3 linked regions of the Caenorhabditis elegans genome follow. The protein of the gene in region 3 interacts with the protein of the main gene of each other region in a pairwise test. Each region holds a gene or a part of one and is shown on either strand. Other genes may lie near its edges.

Region 1 (6,758 bases), on a different chromosome or scaffold from region 3:
TCCTGAAAAAAAGTCGAGCGGAGTTTTTGCAAATTTTTGTTGATTTGGAAACTGTCTAGGTTAGACAAAATTCTGAAAGCCCTTTGAAAATTTTTATTTTTTCTATGTATCTGAAAACTTTTGGTTGAAAAATAGAATATCCCGCCAAACATTTTTTAGAAAATTTGAAGTTCCCGTCGAAACATTTTCTTTCAAAAAAAAAACTAGAGTTTCTCTTGTTTCAGTGAAAAAGTATTTTCAAAAATGTTTTCTGTATTTCAGACTATAATTTTAGAATGAGCTCTCTCAAAAAAACGTGCAAACCAAAAAACACCAATAATTTCCAGAAGCATCATCCGTCAATGTTCACGCACAGAAATGATTTTGGCTGACAAAATTCCAGAAAACTTGAACAGTATCAATTTTCTTGAAGGTTCGTGTCCTTCTACAATTTTTGGAGAAAAAAACATTCATTCAGGATCCGACCCAACCAATAAGAAATATTATATCTTCCTGGACATTGACAATATTCCTAACAAAAAACTTAAAAATTTCAATCAAGAAACTAGGATGGCCGTTGGAGTCGGGGCAGTTGAGACTTTCTGTCGAATTTTCCGTAACAAAAACTCAAATGCAAAACGAGTTGTGTTCGAATTCCCATTCCGATCGACTCATCGTTCAATTATGCCACTTTTGATTTCAGAACTTGAAAAATCCGAAATTATTATCAAAGCTCGAGAAATCGCAATAGACTGCAATGAATCTACGTCGAAATGGATTCAAAAGCTCCTAAGCCGCTTCGAAATGGAATACCTAGAAAAAATCACAATGAAATCGCTGAGTGGGAAGGTTTTTGACAAACTGAAAATTACCGATCATTTCAAGAGAGCTAAATCCTTGGATCTTCACGCCAAGAAGAATCCGAGGGGGTACACGCCTGGGGTAGATCAAACTGTCGTAGTGGACTATGCCATGCTGAGCCACGTGGAGAAATACATGCTCACAGTGCATCAGCTGGTACCGGAAGATGCTTGGAAAGTGATCAAGGTGAGACAAGAAGGTAGCTGTCCAAACCTTACCAGGTCCACGTAGAGATCCGCATTTAGGCACTTGTCCGAACAAGTAGGCCGTAGCCCATAGTTAATTTGAACCCTTGCCTAATACTTCTTTTACAACAATAAAGATTAAATCGTGGGTCGCTCGGTGCTGTACCAACTTTATTCTCAATCTACATACATAGTCATCACATCAAATTTTTAGAACTTCCGCTCGAGACCCAACCTACCCATTGGCTCGTTTTTCAACATTGAGGTTGCTGTAATCATTGATCACTTGCAAGTTTTGCGCCAATTCGATGTTCAGCCAAAGCATCAGCCTCCTACAATTGCCGCATTACAATTGAGGTGAGTTTTAGAGGAACATTTTCGATAGTTTCCCATTGAAACTAAATATAAATATTTCTACTTCAGCTACCCAGCCTACACTTATCACGTGCAGTTCTTCGATGTAGAGGACTCCAACAATATTCTCGTTGTCTCAATCAGCATATTTGATGTGACTGGATCAATTTGCAGCCGGGATCATATTTGGGAAACGTTTCGAACGAAATTTTAGTAAATTTTAATTATAAGCACAAATTGTTATCAATGAATTATTTTATATCACAGAATAGTTTTTAACTGCTTGTCGGACACCAGGCACAAGATGTGCGTAACGGGTACTAGGGTACTAGGGTACTTGGGTACTAGGGTACTATGTAGAGTACTAGGGTACTAGGGTAATGGGATACTAGGGGACTATTGTACTGGGGTACTGGGGTACTGGGGTACTGGGGTACTAGGGTACTTGTGTACTACGGTACTACTCCTGTTTCATTGACTGATTTGTTCCAAACTTGATTAGGTTTCTGTACGACTCGTTTGAAACTAATTCCAAATACTTCCAAAGTCGCATTTCGATAAGGTGCGTGCACGGTCAGCATAACAAACGTTGATAGACCTCCATGAAGTGCCATTGTAAATACAGCAAGATTATTGGCTTCTAAAAGGCTTCATTACTCTGCAAACTTTACGAGGCTTACCTTGATTGTAATAACCGACGACAACAACTACAACGCAATAACCGGCTGGAATACAAATAGCGGAAATTGGAATGGCTACTTGTAAGCACATTGCGAAGAACAACTGTTTTTGCAGACGAGTTGTGGCTCGCGATTTTGATTTCAGCGTGAAAAGATACCAAAATATACTTAAGATGAAAAATGCGCCCTGTGGGAGAATAACAAGAGCCGCGATTCCGAGGCTCAAGTAGAGCGGACCAGATTCAGTGATTAATAGAAAAAAATCGGGATGATTTATTTTTTCTTCTGGAATGCAGGGATTTGTCTGAAACTCAATACCTAATTGTTTAATTGGGTCCAAAGATTTCAATGCTAGAGGACTAAACTAACCTCCATAATCATTAGTTTTCCAAGATTTTGATCGGGAATATTTAAAAAGCAAGGTAGAATGAACGTTATTGAAATAATATAGTGAATAGCAATGTATACAACGTACTTCCAGCCACGTTTTCTATCTACACCTGGATTTCTGATTAACTTGTGATATCGCTCCTCGAAGAACATAAGAATCGCCATTCCAATCACTGAATTTTAATTTTTAAAAAATGGTTTTCTGTTTACACAACCAGAATAAACCATACCTCCAATAAGGGAAACCCCTACGTAGGCTTGAAAAACAGTTGAAACCCCAAGCATCGTTAGTACTCCAAGTGGATATACGGCGCAGGCAGGTAAAAGGAATACTGGAATTTCTAGGCAACTCATATAAATGTCTAATAAGGCACCCGCCAAGTGAAGAACCAGCATATTCGTTCTTACATTTTTCATATTGTTTGGAGTCTTTGCTATGATAATATAAGCACCGAAGATATGAATAGGAACCTCGAACGAGGTAAGGATGTGAAGAGCATTTGCATGATATGTGTCTTTATCAGATAATATTGGAGTTTTGCTACACATTCGACAAGTGAAATTAGCAAAGGGAAGTTGAAATGAAATGAGAATGTTTTTGGCGTTGCATTCCAATTAATTTTGTTAATTAATTTTGCTGATTTATGCTGTCAGGCTTCTCTGGCATTTATTTGAAAAAAAAGAACGGCAAAAAACACAACATACCTAAAATGCTCATTGATAAGGTTTAAAATAAAGTATTGGTCCACAGAAAACCATCAAATTCAGAAATTTCAAGAATTAGTAAACACTCTATTTGCTATGTAACTCTAAAACGACTCTGTTTTTCCGCGATTTATATTTATTAATTATGAATCATATTCGTGTTTCCTGATCACCTTAACAATAATCATTTCTTATCAAGACAAAACTCCAGACATTAAAATCACATCACAATTTCCTTATCACCGATAAGGCTCTTTCCAGGTGACTCACTTGTTTAGGAATTCACTACAAACATAAAATAAAGTGTACTTACATATATTTCGTAACCCCAAACCTAGGAAAAGGAAATTGGAAAAAGTAGGCGTGTCCTATTAGTGCTCAGGGTGGTGAATATATATTAAAACGAAGCCAAGTGTTGGAGATTTGGAAAATGTCAGTTAACATCGGTGCAGTTTTGATGATTTTCGTGTATGCTATCAATTTTTATCTGTTATTTCAAGGTTTTGATTTTAAAAGCAGTTTTAGGAGTGAAGGTAAGGGATTTTTCGTTTTGATAACTTCTTTTTTAAATCAATTTCATGAGTTAATCCAACTTGGTAATTTTAACAACTGTGTAATTTTCTTGATTTCAGAAACTCTAATTGATTCGTATAATGGTAGTATTCAAGAAAATGGAAAACGCATTATGTTCCAAGGCTTATCACTTCGATCTTGATTTTAAATGTTTTGTTTTTTATCCTTTTAAGATGTGTGATCTCATTTTTCATTTTTTATCTGTTAATTGATAATAAATGTGATTCAAATTGTATTAAAAAGTTTTTTCAAGTAGTCTTTCTTTCCTAAAGCTAAGGGGGGTTGCTTCCCAAATTTTTGTTTAAATTAATGAAAATCTTATGAGGAACAAATCTTATTCTCTATGACTACATTAAGCAAACTCAGCAGATTAGCTCTTTGCTTTGCTGCCCAACGATGCACTGATGGGTCTCTGAGTCTTCAAAATGTTGGCCAAATTAATAGGTTTCCCTGGCCAGACGCAGATATTACGGACATAGTATAACATACTCAGAGGTGCGCAATATTCTTGTGTTGCCAATATTATCATCGTTTTGGTTACCATGGTATTATTTGGGGATCTAGCTTCAGAGGGAAAGAGTGAAATGAGCTAATTGAAAAACGGCATCATCAAACCCTGAAATTAACCGGAATACATATGTCATGCCTGGATGTCCCACTACGATTTGATCTACAAAAAATGCGGCAATTTTTTCCCAAAAAAATGTGACGTAAGCACCATGTGAAAGTTGAGAACTCTGCGTCCCAATTCCTGCAATTTTTGTAGATCTAAATAGATCAAACCGAAATGGAACACTCGGACACCACGTGTATACAGGGAGTTTACTGTAAATTAAATACTTTAACTGGAATTTTTGGAACTAGACTAGTCTAAGAAAGGGTGCTTTCTTGGTGAGGCCTCTGTTATGACGAACTCTGTAATTTTTTCTACTACGAAGGTTCTCCGATGCCTTTCCTGCAATTACTGGAACTAGGAGGAGGCATCTCCAGCTTTGGGCTCAAGCATCACGGGTTGTCAAGGAAACATCTGAAACATCCAAAAATTTATTTATTTTTTTCACATACTACACAACTCCTTTTTCGAACTTCAATGAATATATTAGATGAAAGACGCAGAGATAACTGAGAAATTAAAACAACACTGGACAGATGAGGTTGCTAGGAGAACAAAAGGGCGTGAGATAACTCACACACGAAACTGAAGTAGAAGGGCATAATTTTCAGTTTTTTGTCTGCGTGCTCAAATTTTTTTCAATTCATCCGTCTAAATAATAACGTCATGGAATCCTTCGAATACTGGCCAAGATTGCCTGAAGAACTCAAAAGAGAAGTTATAAAAAACATGGGATTTGCTGACAGGTATTTTTTATATGTTGAAATAGACTAAAACAGGTCCACAATCACAAAAGTTCATAGTGAGACTTCACAAAAAATGCCTAAAATGTTTTCAAAACTCCATTGGCTGCGACAAAGAAAAATGGGCATAATTTCAGATTTTAGCAAAGTTTGGCTCTTTCGCAATTTCGACCCACCATAAAAAATATTTGGAAATTTTTTGTGCAGTATCATTTTGAAATTCGATGCCTACCTAGCCTACCTTCATGCCTAATTCTTTGATAACTAGTTGTTTCATCTTGCCCGCAAATTTTTTATTTTCCAGATATAACACTCGTCTGTGTGCATCTCAAGAAATGAGGCTCGTCGATAAACTGCCAACTCACCTCGATAACCTGGAATTTGTTGTAAGTAGGCTTTGAACGCTGTACATTATTTTTTAAAAAGTGTTTTCAGAATCTGATGAAGCATTCAGACAACACTACATCAGCTTGGCGGTGGATAAAATTCCATTCAAAAACATTGTCGACCTAAGAACTAACAGTAGATTTGGATTCGAGAAGTTTTCAATTCAAAATTTCTGCCGAGTTTTTGAAAACAAAAACTCCACCGTTCAACGACTGGATCTTCAGCTTTTCTATCAATCCACAAATCGATCAATTTTTGATCTTCTGGTTGCTGAAATTCAGAAACGAGAAATCAAGATCTGGGTGAAGGAAGTTCACCTGGATTGCAGTGAAGAGCGGAAGTTCTCATGGCGGAGAGTTGCAAAGCTTATGACTATTTTTAGAAATAACCACCCAAGCCAGCTATTTCTAAGAAATCTTCGAGAGGAAGACTACATCAAAATTTATAAATTGGCGTTCCAAGGTGTGCCGGACCAAACGATTATATCGACTGTGCCAAAGTTGTATGAACTCCACCTAAAATGGACGACACCGTTTATATCAGATCAATATTTGTTTCGCGGTTGTTCACCAGGTTTTGCTTGGTCACAGCTCAAGGTAAGAAAGTTTATTGTATTCCAAGGAAAGTATCTCAGCTCACGAGTTTGGCTCGTCAGAGACTTTGCAAAAAAATGACTAAAACTTATTTGCTTTACCACATATTTTGGAAAGAAATGGACTGAAAAACTTTCAGATCGACCTGTGAGAAAGCATTATTTATTGTTTTACAGCATTATAAAGCTCATGGTTGGAAGCCAGTTGGAAGCGTCTTTAAATTTAGAACAATTGTGGAAATGGACATCGATGGAATTATGCAGCTATATGATGTGCAGCCGCAATTCAGGAAGTTCCAGCATGTTCCCGACTGGGAATACGACATTTCGTTAGTGAATCTTTTTGGCTTTAAAATAAAATCATTGATATCAAATTTTCAGTGAGTTCCCAGACAAGGAATTACAAATGTTCGACACTGACATTCCGGAAAAAGTGTTCATCTGCGAACTTTTGCCAACCTACATTGCCGGCGTGATTTGCCAGAGGGATCAACTTATTTTCCAGTCATGATTTTTCCAATTAATTTTTGTCAATCTTTCATTTAAAACGTTTAAAAATAAGAATTTAATATTAATTTCATATATATAATTTGATACATAGTTTCTTTATAGTTTCCACTTCACATAATGTTTGAATCAAATTAATCGTAACTTCTATAAAAGTTTAATATCATTAATTCTTCGAGATCTGGCGTG
Region 2 (7,426 bases), on a different chromosome or scaffold from region 3:
TTCCACGTAAACATACACACACACATATAGTCATGATGAGGTCGAAGGTTGTGAGAAACAATCTTTTTGTCGCATCTTATGAGAACTGGGAGGAATGTAAAGGGTGAGAAGATGAAAGGAAAAGGGAAAACTTGATAATGACGCATCGGCAGAAGCTGGAATTGGAATACTTAGATTTTCCAACGGTTGTTTTGACAACCACTAACAAACTAGTATTGAATTTGTGAGAATGGTGATAGAAATTTAAATTTATGATGAAATAGGCAAACTCCCAGAAGAACAGGTGAAATTGAAATTGGGAAAACGAAGTCGCAAAGTCTGCTAGGTACGCAAAATGTAAATTATCTGGCTTCTTTGAACATTCTAGAAAAGAAATCCTACAAGTTTATTTTTGTAGTGGGGAAACCTCAGAATTCTTTTCTTCTCGTAATGATTTTATGAGGCAAAAAGGATAGGATTTCGATGAAGGTCGGTTAAGAGAAACAAGTTCGAACAAAGACGTATATAGCTCGTGAAAACATTTTTCAGAAACCATAGAATGATCAAAATGACTTTTGAATGTTCAAAAACTTCACTTAGCACAAAAAACTAGTTGTTAAGTGTTTATTTTATACCAATAATTAACGAGATTGTGAGTCATTTAACGTTTGAAAACGATTGTGGTTCCAAATTCATTGTAAAAGTGGAGTGTCAGTTGTAGGGATTTTGCTTCAAATTCCTACAAATAGCTCGGAAAAAATCCGCGGGACGATAATTCCACAAAGATTTTTAACTGCATTATTTTTAATTGACTTTTGTTGTTTTAATTTTTTGTTGTTTTGTGGAACGTTCGTTTCAGCTAATCCGGATTCCCAAACAGAATTTTAATTACGCTATTTTATTGTTCAGGACCATTTTGGGTCAAATAAGCCCAGAAACGCCAATGCCCTTAAAAATATTTCTGTGTTCAATTTTTATTTCTCATTTGAAAATTCAACTTCCGCTTTGAATTACGCGAACTTTTTTTTTACCACCATTAGTAATGTTTCTTTTGAAGTTGTGATTTCATAGATAATTATAACTTTCAGAGATAATACTTCCAATAGTTCGTTTTTTTTTCAGAACTAATTGGAAAAAAACCCTGAACTCTAATATTAGTAACGCCACCACACCAAATCAAAAAATAAAATTTTCAAGTAAGACAGTAGGAACATAAAATAAACGGGATGTCCAAAAAATATAGAAGCCCTCAAAATAATTGCACCTATCTTGCTTTCACATCGTTTTACTTTAGGAACGACTCGCCTTTTTTTTTTTGAACAATTGCACCTGCTGTGGGTTGTTTCCTTTGGCTTTTCCTTTTTTGCCACTAGTACGAATAATTTTTAGTGCAAAAAGCTTTACAACAGCTAGTAGAAAAAATATTTTTGAAATTTTACCTACCTCCTTTGTAAATTGAAGTCGCTCATAGGGTTGTTGTCCCGTTTGGACTCTGCCGTCCCTGAAAAAGATTAAATTTAAAAAAAATACAAGAGCAGGTTTTTGTTTTGTGATGCTCTTTTTTTTAATTTATAAAAGAAAATTGTAGACATTCATTCTTTAACTCTAAGAATATAATACCATTAAGTAATACACATATGTAGTTCACATCTGTTTCATTACGTTCAATAAACACATCACAATTATCTTTTTTTTTTATAAAAAGGAAGCCCCTGAAAAATCATGTGAAAAATTTCACCTGGAGCAGTCTGAATTGCCATTGCAGAGTTGCGGCAAAACTGAGGGGCAGCTGAAAAAAACATATGAAACCATATTAAAATAAATAAACTACAGTGTCCTGTAACAGAAAATGAAACAAAACGAGCGAGGCTATCAAGTTGAAGTTAAAACTGAAGCCTTTCAGTCAAAGATATCTCTATAGTAACCTGAATAACATTCAATTTTCTAACTCTCCCCCATAATCACACGCTATGCGCTTGCTTTTGTTGATAAGTTTTTTGTCGGTTTTTGTGAAACGAAACGAAACCCAATTAGAGAGAGACGATTGCTATGGGAACTCGGCGCATATTTCCTCTTGGGGTTTTGACATCATGTCTAGAAACTCAAAACTTGAAATCATAATGTATACATCAAGTTCTGTTTCACCAAACAAACAACAAATCTAAAAAAAATTCTAAGTAATATATACAAGACACAACTCAACCTTCAATTTTTTCCTTATCGTTTCCTACCAGATTTATACTAAAAACTGACCTTCATAACTGTAGTTGTATTGTTTCATAGTTAGTGCAAATGCAGTAGCAGCAAAAAACGCGGCACAATGAAAGCGAAACACACCTTGCCACGGCTAACTATGTATTTACTTTTGGCCTACTCTTCCTCCCAAATGTTCAGAGATGAAAACAAATAGATATTACGGTTTGTAAGCAAACGTGTGAACTTTTGAATGTTCGCAAGTCAAGATATAGAGTTGAATTCCGAAAAATAATAGAAAACTGTAGTGAAATTGAAGGTGAAAATTGAAAATTGAGCAACAAGTATAGCCGAGCAACCAAAGGAAAGATATTGTAAAGTGAAAAAGATTTACGATAAGGATTGATTAAAAATTGTACTTGCCTGATGATTGCAAGCGCTTGTTGTTGAATCAAGAACATCAAGAAGCCGAAAGGAAAAAATTCATTAGCCTTTTTGGGAAATGAGCGGTGATGATGCCGTGAAGGAAGTTGTGTGCACTATGTTGAAGTAATAACATATCCGGGTCACCTGAAAGTGTATAAAAAATGTTGGACTAGAAAGAAATGTACATCAAACATTAAAAAATTCAATATCCAGGTCACAATATACTATAGTTCATTTTTCATCTTTCTAGCCAAAAAAAAACTTAATCTTTAGAACTGAGGCTTAATTTTTAAGCTGCGTTTTAAGAAATATGCTTTCAGGCTACTGTTTTCAAGCTGCCTTTTTAGGCTCAGTGATGATAAATATTTTCAGGTTTAGATCTTCAGGCTTAGTTTTTAGGCTTGATTTATATTCTGAGGTTATCAGGTTTAGGTTTTCAAATACGTTTTTCGAAACATTCAACATTTATAAACATTGACTCCACGTGAAAAGTTTCATGAAGTATCAAAAATGAAAAAGAAAAAACCTTCGTAAAACTATGAACATAAAGAAAAAAATTTGAAAAGTGATTGAAAAAAAATTACACTGCTCAAAACACACATTTCAAACATTTTGTTCTGTACCTGTACATCATTTTTTGAAAGCGATGTAACCACTGTGTTTTGTAAAGTTCTTGTTCATTATAATTCACACGTGTTTAAAATAATTTTTTAGTTATCAGAATGACATTACAAGTGGTGATGATAACTGATTAGTAGTAGACATACCGGTTATTTTGCACGCGGTTTTACTCGTTCAATCTTTTGAAGGTTATACAAATCTAACACCTTTCAAAGAAAATGACATACATACTTATTTTTATGGGTGTTTATAAATTTATACTGTTTTCATGTATTTTAGGAAATAAATAATTTTAACGAGCTTTTTTCAAAATTGTATGTCTTATGTCCATGAATGGTAATTATAATTGTAGTCTAGTAGTTATTTTTGTTGAAATTTAAATACTTTGCTTTCAGTACTTTTCCATCATCATACGTCTCTCAATTGGCTTCTACTTGCTCTCTTATCATTAACCATTTTTATGATAACCAGACGCATAGTTTCATTTTCTCAGACCATATTTATTTTTCAATTTATTTGTTTCTTTTTGTATTCTGTTGAATTTTGAGCTACAATTGTGTGGTATTTTTAGATGTTAGACCTATACCCTGTTCAAAATTTAACAGTTGATCAGTTGGAATACGAGAAGAATACACGATTTCTTCAACCGGCATGGGATTGGATCAAAGTTAGTTTCACCTAACCTTTTTTTGTAAATCATGATTCGATTCCAGAATGGAAATGAACACATTTTAAGCTCGCCGCTTTTCCCGCCGTTCTATGCGCTCTCAATCGATTACACTTGGGTAGCCGTTTTCACATGTAAGCACGTACCACGGGTTGATAACATTGAATTAAACTACAAAATGTTTCAGTTATTGACGTGTTTCTGTGCAACGTTCCATTTTTCAAAGATGCAAAAATCCAAAAAGATCGAAAAGTGACCTGGGATTTGATAAAGAAGTCACTGAAGCTTCAAGGATGGAATCAGCTCCTGTGGATTTACCCGATGGCACTTGTCCAGTTAATTTGGGTACCTGATACAGAGCTTCCTATCCTGGCACCAACAGTTTTTGAAATGCTTTCACAGCTGGCTATATTTTTCCTGGCCTTTGATTTCACATATTTCTGGTTCCATTATATCAATCACAAGGTAATTGATAACAAACAACGGTTGCATGTGTGAAGTATGATTGGAGTAGTCATAAAACACGGTTTTTAATAACTTGTAAATCGAGTTACATTGAAACTAATTAGACCATGTTTCACAATATAATTCAAAACCTTCTCTGAATGTATATAATCGGGAACTCACCAGCTACAAATAATTTTTTGTTGTGCAAAGCTCGCCAATTTTCCACCAGGTTTACATTCGTTTAGGCAAAAGTTTCCAAAACGTTGCACATTCCGAGTACTAATTCATATTGCGGAACCTGTCATTTTGTCGAAACGTCCTGATAGGAACTTTTTGATTGTTGCAAACGTTTCAGTGTTTATTTTTACGATTCCTATTATTTGGTTATCCATGTATGCAAAGAGGTTTATTAAAATGTATATTTTGACGTCACATAATGCATTTTAGTTTATGCTATGACGTCATAATTTACATCAATGTTGATTTCTTCATTAGCAGCTTTTCTCTCACTTGAAATTAAGATTCGAAATAATTTTTTACCAACGTTAAGCACGTTTCAGTTTGAATTTCATAAAGCTATTACATATTTTTCAGCGATTCAAAAATTATATTATCAGTGGAATGAATCACTGATAGTCATAATTGTCCTATACACAAATCATGGTAATATCACTCAACATTTTGCAGGTAAAATGGCTCTACCGCTGGTGTCACTCTGTTCATCATATGTACTCATCCCCATTCGCAGCATCTGCACAACATCTTCACCCATTTGAGGTTTTTGAAAATTGAGATTTATAACTAAAATAGTAAGTTTTTTCAGCTGTTCTTTGTTGGAACATTCATCACCACTATCCCATGGATCTTCCCAACTCACTGCTTGACCTACTGGATTTGGTTCTTTATCGCCCAGAGCGTCTCTTATGAGGTATTAAAATTTGACCTTTAAAGTTGACAAAGTTGAATTCAGGTTCACATTGGATACGACTTCCCATTTGCTCTTCATCGCATTTTCTGGTTCTACTCGGGTGCTCCGGCTCATGACATGCACCATCTGAGACCACTGACATGTTTCCAACCGTGGTTCAACTATCTCGACAGACTCATGGGTTACCATATTACCTACGCCGATTTGAAAAAGATGACCGAGGCAAAATTCAAAAAGTTCGGGCTCTATTCAGCTGAAGACGAGAAAGGATTAATCAAAATTAACTAAGCCACGTACATGTATTACCCCGTAACGCAATAAACGAACTTTTTTTGCTGTTGAAATGTGCATGAGTGAGCAAGACTTTTTCGGAACTTTGTGTTTGCTCCCAGACAGACCGGAAAATGTGAAAGTAACTGAATCAGAAGAAATGTGGTATTGAAACGTGAGATCTTGCAAAAGGAACTAAGAACACGAGACTTGACCAAAAGTTCAAAAGGTTGCTTGAAATGTAAATAATTTTAAATCTGAAATATCCCCCACCAAAAGGGTTAACCTGTCCAAATTGTGGTAAATCTATTTTTTTTAATTGAATTTTGTTTTCATAGTCAAACAATCGTAATTCTGAAACGTGGCCAAAAATGTCTACAAGTTTTAAAACAAGCAACTGTGACTCAAACATTTGTTCGGAGTATTATTTTTAACCAGGTGAATCGTTTCTATTTGGAACCTCGAATCGTCTTCAACAGAACATGCTTCACCCAATTTTCTCGCTGATGAGATTTGTGCAGAGGCGCATGTCTGTGTGTCATCGTGTAACTTCTATTTGCCGGCACAAAGAAGATGAGCAACAAAAAGACCTCCTCCAAACTTGCCCCCATTCAAATCGCCCATTAGCGTTTAGCCTTTCTCTCTTATAGGACCACCCATTGAAGCTGCAAAGATTCACGCATCCCAAACGCGTCGAAATAGAGGATGATGGGGGGACCAATTGGAAATGAGACATGCGCGAGAAGAGAGAAAGAGCCGAAGAAAGGAGCAGTTCTTCCCGCATATTTTCACTAGTATGTGTGTGCATTTATAGCCTTCCCCCTTCTCCTTCTTCACGGCTCCTCCTCCACGATGTGGGTGATGAGAGCGAAGAGGGGCCAGACCGGGAGCCCCTGCGCTTCTTCGACTAGCATTGTGCATTCAGAATCGATAGCTGTGTGTGTCTTGCCATTTCGTCTACTACATTGGGCTAGTGGTGCTGCTGCTGCTGTCGCTGCCGCGAGGAACCTCACATACGTCTTCTTATTAAAATTTCGGAACGAGCGACGACGGCCAACGGGTCATTCTTTCATTCTTTTATTTTGTTGTCAACTCTACCTTGGTTTTAAATGGAGAATGTCTGTTTTCAGCAAAGATTACGAGGTAAACATATAATTTTTCATATATTTGTTTATTGTCGGCTGAGTACGTAGCAAAATATTCGTAGATTATGTATATTCCGTTTAGAATCTTTGATGAAAATTTAATGAACTGCAAAACAGGTCAACCAAGTTGCTGATTGCCAGAAAGTAGCCTTAGGTTCGGAAATCATCGGTTGTCGGCTGCCGAAAGTTTTATCGTTCGCCAACTTCGGCAACTTTCGATATTAATTTCAATTGTTTTGTAAATACGCATTCAAAGACCCTAAATATTGCGAATATCGTCACTGTAAATAAAACAATTATATTTTTTCCTCGAAAAACACTCTGAAATATGAGTTTAACAGAAATATATGTTTGAACAACGCCAAGGCCTCGGCAGCCGACGGTTGCCGGTTGCTGAAAATTTCAGCGATTGGCAAATTCGGTAACCGCTCATTGACTGATACCCAGATGATGCTGATGCAATTAATTTTCAACCTGTAACCTAAATTTTAGTGAAACAAGGTAGCCAACGAACTTATACCTCTTGATAAGAAAAGTACTTGGCTTCTCGGGCAATAGGTACCACAAAAACTACTAAAAATAACCAAAGTGTCAATCAGCGCCAAACACACAATCTCATTTCCTCCGTGTTGAGTCTGTAATAATTGATTTTAGATCTGGAGACGAGGGTGAGAAAATGGAAATTCTTGAAGTTGGGATTGACTGAGGTTCGGCTACGGCCGAGAGATCGCCGATCAACTTCGGTAGATC
Region 3 (8,380 bases):
TAAGAGTTTTATACTTTATCTGCATTTTGATTGTTTGTAGTTAAACATTCTAGAGATTTCAACCTGTATTTTTTTTTGTTGAAAAATCTAAACGTTTTTGGAGTTTATTATTATGATATTCGCCATTTTACATTTTAATAAGAGAAACACTATTTATTTAAATATTATCATATTAACACTTTGTAGTAATGCAGTCAAAAAAATGTGAAAATTATTAGTATTATTTGTAATAACTTTTGTTTATACAAATATAATGTAGTTTCACTATATGTTTCAATTTCTTATCTTCAAAAATTGTAATCTTTTCTCTTTGATGCGACTCTAGATCTTTACACTTTTTCCAATGGACAGTGCTTAGCACAACGAAACATATATTTTTCAAAGGTGAGTGATGTCTGAACTTTGGCTCAGAGAGTTCACAAAACCACGTGACAAATGTTTAATAAAGTTGTTGATGTCATTATTTGAATTATTTGAAAAGTTGCAAAACTGTGTGTATTTGAAACCGAAACCATAATTGGTTGATAAACATGTGATTCGATATTGTACCTGTTGAAACGAACAAATACTGCTCATTGTGCTGTTTGCACTTTTTTCTGCGGGAAGGGCAGTTTTTAGAATTGCTGGATAAAAATGTCAAGGTAGAAATAAACAGACAAACTTAAAATAGGAGTCAGGGAAATCAATGATAAAAAATAAATTTTTGGATCAATTTTAAGAAACTACGTTTTAAAAACACATTTTTCAGTTTATTTTTTCAAAATTTAGTTACAGTTTTGGATATTTTCAGAATTGAAAACGTAGTCTATAATCAGTCTGGAATTTAAGTTTCTAATATTTTTGCAATACAACTAAAAACAGGAAAATTTGAATTAAAGCTTTTCGAAAAAAAAACTTTTACAGTTTATTTTTTTGTGTTTTTAATGCAATTGTATTTTGGTCTTCTGAAATTTTTGATGTTGAAAAAAAAGACAAACCGCTTTGCACATTTCCCATTGGTATATCCATACTCATATCTTCTGTTTTCGGGTTAATGAATTCGACAGATCTGGGTACAATGCAGAGAGGAGGTGCCACCGATGATGACGTCATACGATCTGCAACGGACATTTGAGCAGCTCCAGCAGCCGTGACGACACCCTTGAGACTTGATGTACATGCTTGGGATTCGTTAGGTGAAACTGCATCGGTCACTAAAACAGATAATAATTTTTAAGCAATTTTTTAAAAGGATAATTAAAAGTAAGAAACTTTTTTATGTTTCAAGCTATGTACATAATACTTAATCCAAAAACTTACAATCCAATGGCATTGCTGTCAAGACAGGCGGAGAAAGTTTTGGTCGTTTACGAGCTGGCTCCAATCCGGACGACGAATTCTGACGACGATGCGTAGTTGAAGTGGTTGGTGAGCCGTTTGGGCTGAAATTTAAAATTTGAGAAGTGAAAATGTGCTGAATTTAAGTAATTTTATTTTTAGAATTTTTATTAATTTCTGAAAAAATAATTAGAGATGAGGAATATGTATAAACATATATCAAAATTGAATTTTAATTATTTCTAGTTGATTGAAATCGTGGGATAGGGCAAAAAAACTGAAGCCAAAAGAAAACTATATTCATAATATCTTTAAAAAAATTATTAAAATAAAAACGAAAATGAGTTTCAAAGATAACACTTATACCTAAACTTCTACATTTATTATATTTCAAAAACTGTGTTGACCACAAATTAAGACGAAACGACATTAATCCATCTCAAAAATAAGTGTATGAAAAATCAAGAATTTGCAAAAATTACATTCAAGAATTAATTTTAAAAAACGGAAGACAAACCAGATTGAATTTAAAACTCGAAACAGAAGTTTGAAATTAACGAAAGATTTAAAATTCAGTTTTGTTAGTTCTGATGCAGTGAGTTGAAATTTCACAATTTGGGGTAGAGTTCAAAAAATTTCAATAAGATGTGAACAATCAGGGGCAGTTCCCGTAGAACGTCTTAAAAATACACATATAATATTTCAATTAATTGTGTATTTTTAAAAAGTTTGAAGTAACTCAAAAACTGAAATTCAAAAGTGAGAATATCAACAGGAATGGGACACAAGTTGACCTCGTGTCTGCGATGTCTCTACCGCTTTTCTCGCACCGTTTTCGTTTCCTTTTTCAACGCGCATACCGAAAAAATGTTTCGTCTCGATCCTGCGCGAGTTCAAACGTTCAAAATCAGCGTCACACAACTACATCGATTCAAACGAGAGAGGATTCAAAAATCAGAGACGCAGACAGTCCTAGAGAATCCTAGAGAAAATAGATGAGCTAGTGAGTGTCACGTGACGAAGAGATTCAGATGTGCAAGGCGATTTTTGTATGGGGAGAAAAACGGGTAGCAGTACCCACCGATATAGAGTTGAGATTAGACAACTAGATGATCAAACTATGATATAATATTCATAGAATATGTTCTTTTTTTTTAACTTGTAACTTTCTACAGAGATTGACGACACAACTGTAAATAGTTCTCAATTTGGAAATAGATTTCTAACAATATAGGATCAGAAAGTTACTGATGTGGGGAATTGCATTAAAAATTAAGTAGCTAGCAGAGAAATCTTGATAAAATAAATTTGAATGTGACCAAAAAATGAATGCAGTATAAATAATTACATTTAAATGTGTCAAAATTGAAAAAAAAACATTGGAAGGCGTGAAAAAACTGTAATTCTGATTATTTTGAGAAGGTTAAAGTTGCATATTAAATCTAAAAATATTTTTAAAAATTAAAAGAAAATCAAACAATCATTGGAAAAAACCATTTCTTGGTCTACTACACTAACAGAATAGTTCAAATTTTAGGGATAGAATTAAGGGAATTTTCGAGATTTTAAAAGTTTGAGTAAAATTTTATCACATTTTTAATAGTACAAATTAAATCAAAAATACAATTTCCACTAAAAACGAAAGAAAAAATTTCTCAAAATCAATTTCTGAAGACTATGGCTATTCCGTATCACAAAAGCTCCTTGTTACAGTGAAAAAAGTGTAGTCTGACAATTGAAACAAGAAACAGTTCCCTGCAACCAAATATAGTCAAAAACGATATTGAAACAGTGAGTGAGAGAGATTGAAAGCGAGGCAAAAAAAGAGTTGAAGACCAACATAAAATACACATAATCAGTGTAAAACTCACTGTCTTTCATCATCTCTTTTACTCTTTTTCCCTAGCGTTTCAACTGAAAAATGGAAACTTTTCGTCCTTTTCCCTCTCAATTCTGCCGACGGTTTGTTTGTACAAAGGGCGGCGAGAGAAGTATCAACGTGGATACGCAGAGAAAGGAGTGGATCGAAAGATCAAATTGAGTGTGAATTGAGTAGAGAGACACCACGTGGCACTACTGACCCGATGGTCAACAAGACGCTCGGATCTTTGGTCTTATAGTTAGCAACCAGAGAAGAATGTTTTACATTTTTATAGGATTGAAGTGGGAATTGACATTCAAAAACCCTCCGACTAATCCGTTATTTACTGGAAAAAGAGTGACGATGTTGAAAGGTACAGTTTGCACCGAATTCAGAATAAAATGAGAAAATCGTGTCGATAGGGTCAGGAATGGACAAGAATGATATCATCGGGCGAAGAATCGATAGTCGATTGACGCCATCCGATCAATTGGTAGAGGCAAAGGACTGGTTGTGATTTATGGAAGTTACAGGCAAATGGATAGATGGACAAAAATCGAACTTATTTAATTTAGTCCGATGTCTATGATTTCCAAAATTTTTGAACTAATTCCAAAATACAACTTGAACTTTTTGGAAGCATTTTTTAATCCTGTGCCATGAGTTCACGATTATTCAGCGTATGAAATTCCAGCTTAACTTCTAGAAATCGTGGAAGCATCTAGTTTTAGTGGTTCGTCAAAACTGTTTTTCTACAGAAAATAAACAAATGAACGTTCATGCCGTCAAGTCAGTCTTACCGCCGAATTTACACGTGTTTCTGCGCTGAAAAATAAAAAATACACTATTTCAAAGTTAAAATTTGCAGCAGTATCTGGAAAACATGTCACTTTTTCTTGAAAAAAGGTTTTTTTTATATTTACAAAGCAAACAAAAAAACATATATGACACACCTGAAAACATTGGCAGATCCGAAAATCTATTGATATAATGCAAAACAAAGAAGGCCTGTCAAATTGATGCAATGTGACTTCACTAGACTCTTTTTAAACTCTTGATCAAATAAAACTTGCAAATCAGAATATACTACAGTCTACTCAAATTATTTTTACTAAAAATTCATTTAATCAATTAGCGGATATATTGCTGGTAATATCAGTTTAATACTGATAAGAGTGAACTTGCAAAGCAGGCAGACAGCTTCTAAAATCTGTCAATTTTGAATGAACTGCCGACAATCGAACTTTCAATACTGTGTTTTTATAAGTTACTGTTAAAAGTCTTTAATTGAAAACCCCTCAAATAGATTAGTTCTTATTTAAAAAATAAAACAATCACGATCATCTCTTTTTTTTTCTTGTTATCATTTTTCTCCGAAAAGATCTCAAAATAAGTGATTATCATGTTTAGTTGTCTTCCTAACCGTATCTTCATTTTTCATAATTTCTATCATATTATCTTCTTCCTTTTTCTTTGATCTATTCCTTTTTTCTTCATTCTCCCACCTTTTATCAATACATTCTTGCACGTCTTCATTCCCAGTTTCACACCCAAAACGATCAGACATCCAAGATATATTGAAAATACAGTAATCCGTCATGCTAGGTGCCTGCAAAAGCGTTACATCACGTGGTCTTTCGATGACCCTGTATGACAGAGAAAAATGGGAGAAATTGATGAAATTCTGATGATGATGGTGGATAATATTATCGAATGTGGGATAGGAAAAAGAGTACAAAATACGTTATTTTTCATGAAAACTATTAGGAAAACTGGAACAACTGTTTGATCAAGTTACAGATAATACGGCAAGAAAAAATGTGACAAAGTCGTCAAAACTTACAATTAGATTCAGCAATATTTTCTAAATTTTGTAATAATCACTGTGAGCTCTAGGTGTTTTTTTCAGTTTTGCCGAACCTATGTTCAAGAATTCTCAACTACGATTTTTCAACAAAAAAATAATTTTTTGGGAAAAGCAGGGCACAGTGTTGAGTGCACCAATTTTTTTGTAGGACTCTTGATTACAGAACTGAAAAAATGCTTACAATTATAAAATTAAAAAAGGCTTTAACTGCAAATTGTAAATTGTGGAATGTAACCTTTTGAATTTCTTATTCGGTATGCATAAAAACATGTCAGGCGTACAAAATTTTGAAAATTGGCTGAACGGATGAAAATGAAAAAGCTTACTAGTCAGAACATAAATTGTATGGAGCACGATTTTATTCATTTTCAGTCGCGTCCCGTCGGCTCTGTATTTATAACAGGTATGTATGTCGGTTAAATTTTAAAAAATTAAGTGAAAGTTTGCATTATTCATAATTGATGTCACGTGAAGCAGTTGAAAAGGTGAGAAGGTCATGCGAAACCGGATCGCTTGATTAGAGTAAGAGTACGGCAAACTTTCATTAAGAAGTTTTGATTGCTGACAGTACAAAGTAGTAGTTTTAAAAATTGAATGTTATAAAAAGTACAATTTTCAAAATGTAGTTATTCGTAATCAGTTGCAAAGAGAATTCTATAAAATAAATTACTAAAACTTGCCCAGAAATGAAAAAAACATGGGAATAAACGTAGCATTTATACCACACAAACTATATTAAATATCAATTTCAAAAATGTTCATTGATCCAAAAAGAATCAGAAGAACAAAACAAAATACACATTTTCTCTTCTGACCTGACTTCACTTTAGTCAAAATCTCTGGCAGGGGAATTCGAAAGATCAGTTGGCGTAGACCAGCTTCTGACATATTCCTACAATCAGAATAGCTCTCTGCCCTCCTCTCCCGATAATCAGCTGTTATTGCACAGATTATCTTTTGCTCTTTTTACGTACTTCAAGCACGTAGCAGCATATTGAGATTATTCAAGTAGAGTAGAGACGATCATTTGATCTTCTCATATTTCTCGCCCCTTTTTCATCTGAAACCAACAAGTTCTGATTTGATGTGGTGGTCAAGAAGACTAGAGTTTGGCAAGCGTGCGCGCAAAGCAAAAGGAGGAGGACAAAGTGTTTTCTTTTGAATATATACGAAAAACAGAAAATGCGGAAAAAAGATCAAAAGATGGAGCAGTGATCTCTGCACCACCGAAACACAACACACTTTTTGCACACACACACGCATTGAGGGTGGTTAAAACGACGTAGATAAGGTTTCGAATATTAGACAAAAGGTATGGCGACTAGATGCGAGAGTCAGATTACAATATGACTTTCCAAAGAATTCATCACATAAATAAGAAGGTAATTTGTCTGACCTTTTTGTATTGGTGTATTGCTCTTGTGCCCTAATTTCTCAAATTTTCTACCTTCGCCATTGCAACCTACGCCTGCCTGTGCCTATATAGGCATCTATACTCTTAGTTTACTGCCAAAGCACACGCAAACCTCACTTTCAGCTTCATTCTAAAAACGTTTAGTGGGAAAATTAATTATGCGTAAATTTATGCTAAGCGAGCGCCAAGAGCGCCAAACGGAACTGCACCGCCTGTTGAAACTTTTAATAAAAAATCTTTTTCACAAGAATGAATCTTCTTGCAATGCGAAATCTCTACTTTCTAAAAATTTTTGATAAATAATTTTTTCAGTTTTTCACAATAGTAAAATGAACAAAACCGTCTTGAAAACTTGAAACACTTGAAAGGTATTTCTTGTTTTTTAGATTAATTTCACGAAACAAAACAGTACAATTATTACTTCTTTTACATAGTCAAAATTCTTACTAATTACTAATCCCCTGTGAAAATTAGACCCCTTATTTTCCATTTTTCTTCAAATTGGAAAAACAAGAAATCTAGTGTCTGGTCAACGGGGGAGCTGTGAACACCTATAACCAGGGAAGATGTCGCAAAAAGGATCAGAAAAACAAAACACACACACAATTCCTGCATATATATTTTTAATATCTTCTCATCCTAGAACTTTCCTCTCGTTTTAAATGACTATTTTAAATAGGATTATTTGGCGGTTTCCAGTCTCCGCCTACTTTTATCTGATCTTATTATGTTAGTGCATTTACTATATCTGATCTATCGAATAACACCAACTGCAAATACTACAAACTAGAGTATTGCCGTGTTTTGTAGTACGAGCATGATCAGTTCCAAAAATACGAGGAACATAACAAGTATCGTGGTATGGCTTCATTAGGATTTGCGTCAAGTTGTGGTCTAGGTATATAGGTATTTTCATAATCACTTGGTCTCAGATTCTGACTGAACACTTGATTAGAGTGAATTTTTTCGTGGTTTAGAGCTAGAAAAACCATGAATTTTGTTCAATTGGTTAAGTTGTGCACGTGATTATTGCCACTAGACGTTAAAGTATTTTTAGTCAGCATTTCTAAGAAACCGGAAGATTGATTACATTACAGGCAGCTGAAGTTCTGGGACCCGTAGTGTGGTAAGTCAGAAAGCAACGATCTCAAAATACAGCTAAGACCCAAGTCATCAATATGAAGAACAAGTTTCAAAAAATAGATTTTATTGAAAATATTTTAATTAAAAATGAAACCGTAACCATTTTTAAACCAATTAAATTGAAACTAACTTGTAATTTTGATGTAGTTGTTGATGTAAATCGTCCATCATTCTTTTGTAATTTTTCCTGGAAAAAATAAAGTTTTCATTGTCAAAATTTTGAAAATAAATGGTTTAAAGATGAGACAGAGATGATGAACAAAAAAGAGAAAAAAAAACAAGGAGAGTTAGAAAGAGAAGAAAATGAGAAAACGAAAAGAAGGGGCGTCAACTTGAACCACATTCAATTATTTTTTCATCTCGTTTTTTTTGTTGTTTTTCCTTATTTCTCCCTTTTTAGGTTTGTTTTTCTAGAATTTGTACAAAAGTGCAAAACCGACGAAAAAAATGGAAATATAAAAAGGATACCATGTGTTATGGGATAGTCTCTAAAAATTCTAGACTAGGTACAATTATATTGGATAGACCAATAGAATTATATCCTACTATTAGAATACAATAATACAATACCTAAGAAACAGTAAAAATTTGTAATAAAAACGGAGAAGTTTCAGAAAAAAAAGATCCAGCCAACTGAATTTCCATTGACTTTCAGTCAAGTTAAGAGACTGTTTTTGTTTTCTTCCCACATATTGGTCGGAAAAATTCAAAGAATCAAAAGTTCAATCAGTAGGTGGATTTGTTTTTGATTGGATTTGAATTAAATGCAACTGTTTCT

What was found.
Region 1: the proteins of nhr-34 (region 3) and srh-166 interact in a two-hybrid assay, tested with the Caenorhabditis elegans proteins (one large-scale study listed by BioGRID).
Region 2: the proteins of nhr-34 (region 3) and F35C8.5 interact in a two-hybrid assay, tested with the Caenorhabditis elegans proteins (one large-scale study listed by BioGRID).

Annotation. Positions count from the first base shown.
Region 1 is NC_003283.11:20,522,869-20,529,626, forward strand, and holds srh-166 (Serpentine Receptor, class H), read right to left. Parts: upstream 2,999-6,758; coding exon 2,680-2,998; intron 2,623-2,679; coding exon 2,429-2,622; intron 2,364-2,428; coding exon 2,060-2,363; intron 2,020-2,059; coding exon 1,832-2,019; downstream 1-1,831. Other genes in the region: fbxa-150 (F-box domain-containing protein), read left to right, coding at 327-412, 458-1,026, 1,240-1,382, 1,449-1,593; Y38H6C.24 (Transposase), read left to right, coding at 3,585-3,687, 3,787-3,869; Y38H6C.13 (F-box domain-containing protein), read left to right, coding at 5,007-5,086, 5,388-5,469, 5,519-5,596.
Region 2 is NC_003284.9:5,362,025-5,369,450, forward strand, and holds F35C8.5 (Cholesterol 25-hydroxylase-like protein), read left to right. Parts: upstream 1-3,788; 5' UTR 3,789-3,790; coding exon 3,791-3,886; intron 3,887-3,932; coding exon 3,933-4,020; intron 4,021-4,073; coding exon 4,074-4,351; intron 4,352-5,020; coding exon 5,021-5,110; intron 5,111-5,156; coding exon 5,157-5,261; intron 5,262-5,303; coding exon 5,304-5,549; 3' UTR 5,550-5,595; downstream 5,596-7,426. Other genes in the region: Dual specificity mitogen-activated protein kinase kinase jkk-1, read left to right, coding at 6,641-6,674, 7,331-7,426; F35C8.8 (uncharacterized protein), read right to left, coding at 7,292-7,311. UniProt on the Caenorhabditis elegans protein: Probable sterol desaturase.
Region 3 is NC_003282.8:9,667,884-9,676,263, forward strand, and holds the start of nhr-34 (Nuclear hormone receptor family member nhr-34), read right to left. Parts: upstream 4,788-8,380; 5' UTR 4,779-4,787; coding exon 4,684-4,778; intron 1,422-4,683; coding exon 1,300-1,421; intron 1,194-1,299; coding exon 978-1,193; intron 336-977; exon of another isoform or gene 315-335; intron 1-314. UniProt on the Caenorhabditis elegans protein: Orphan nuclear receptor.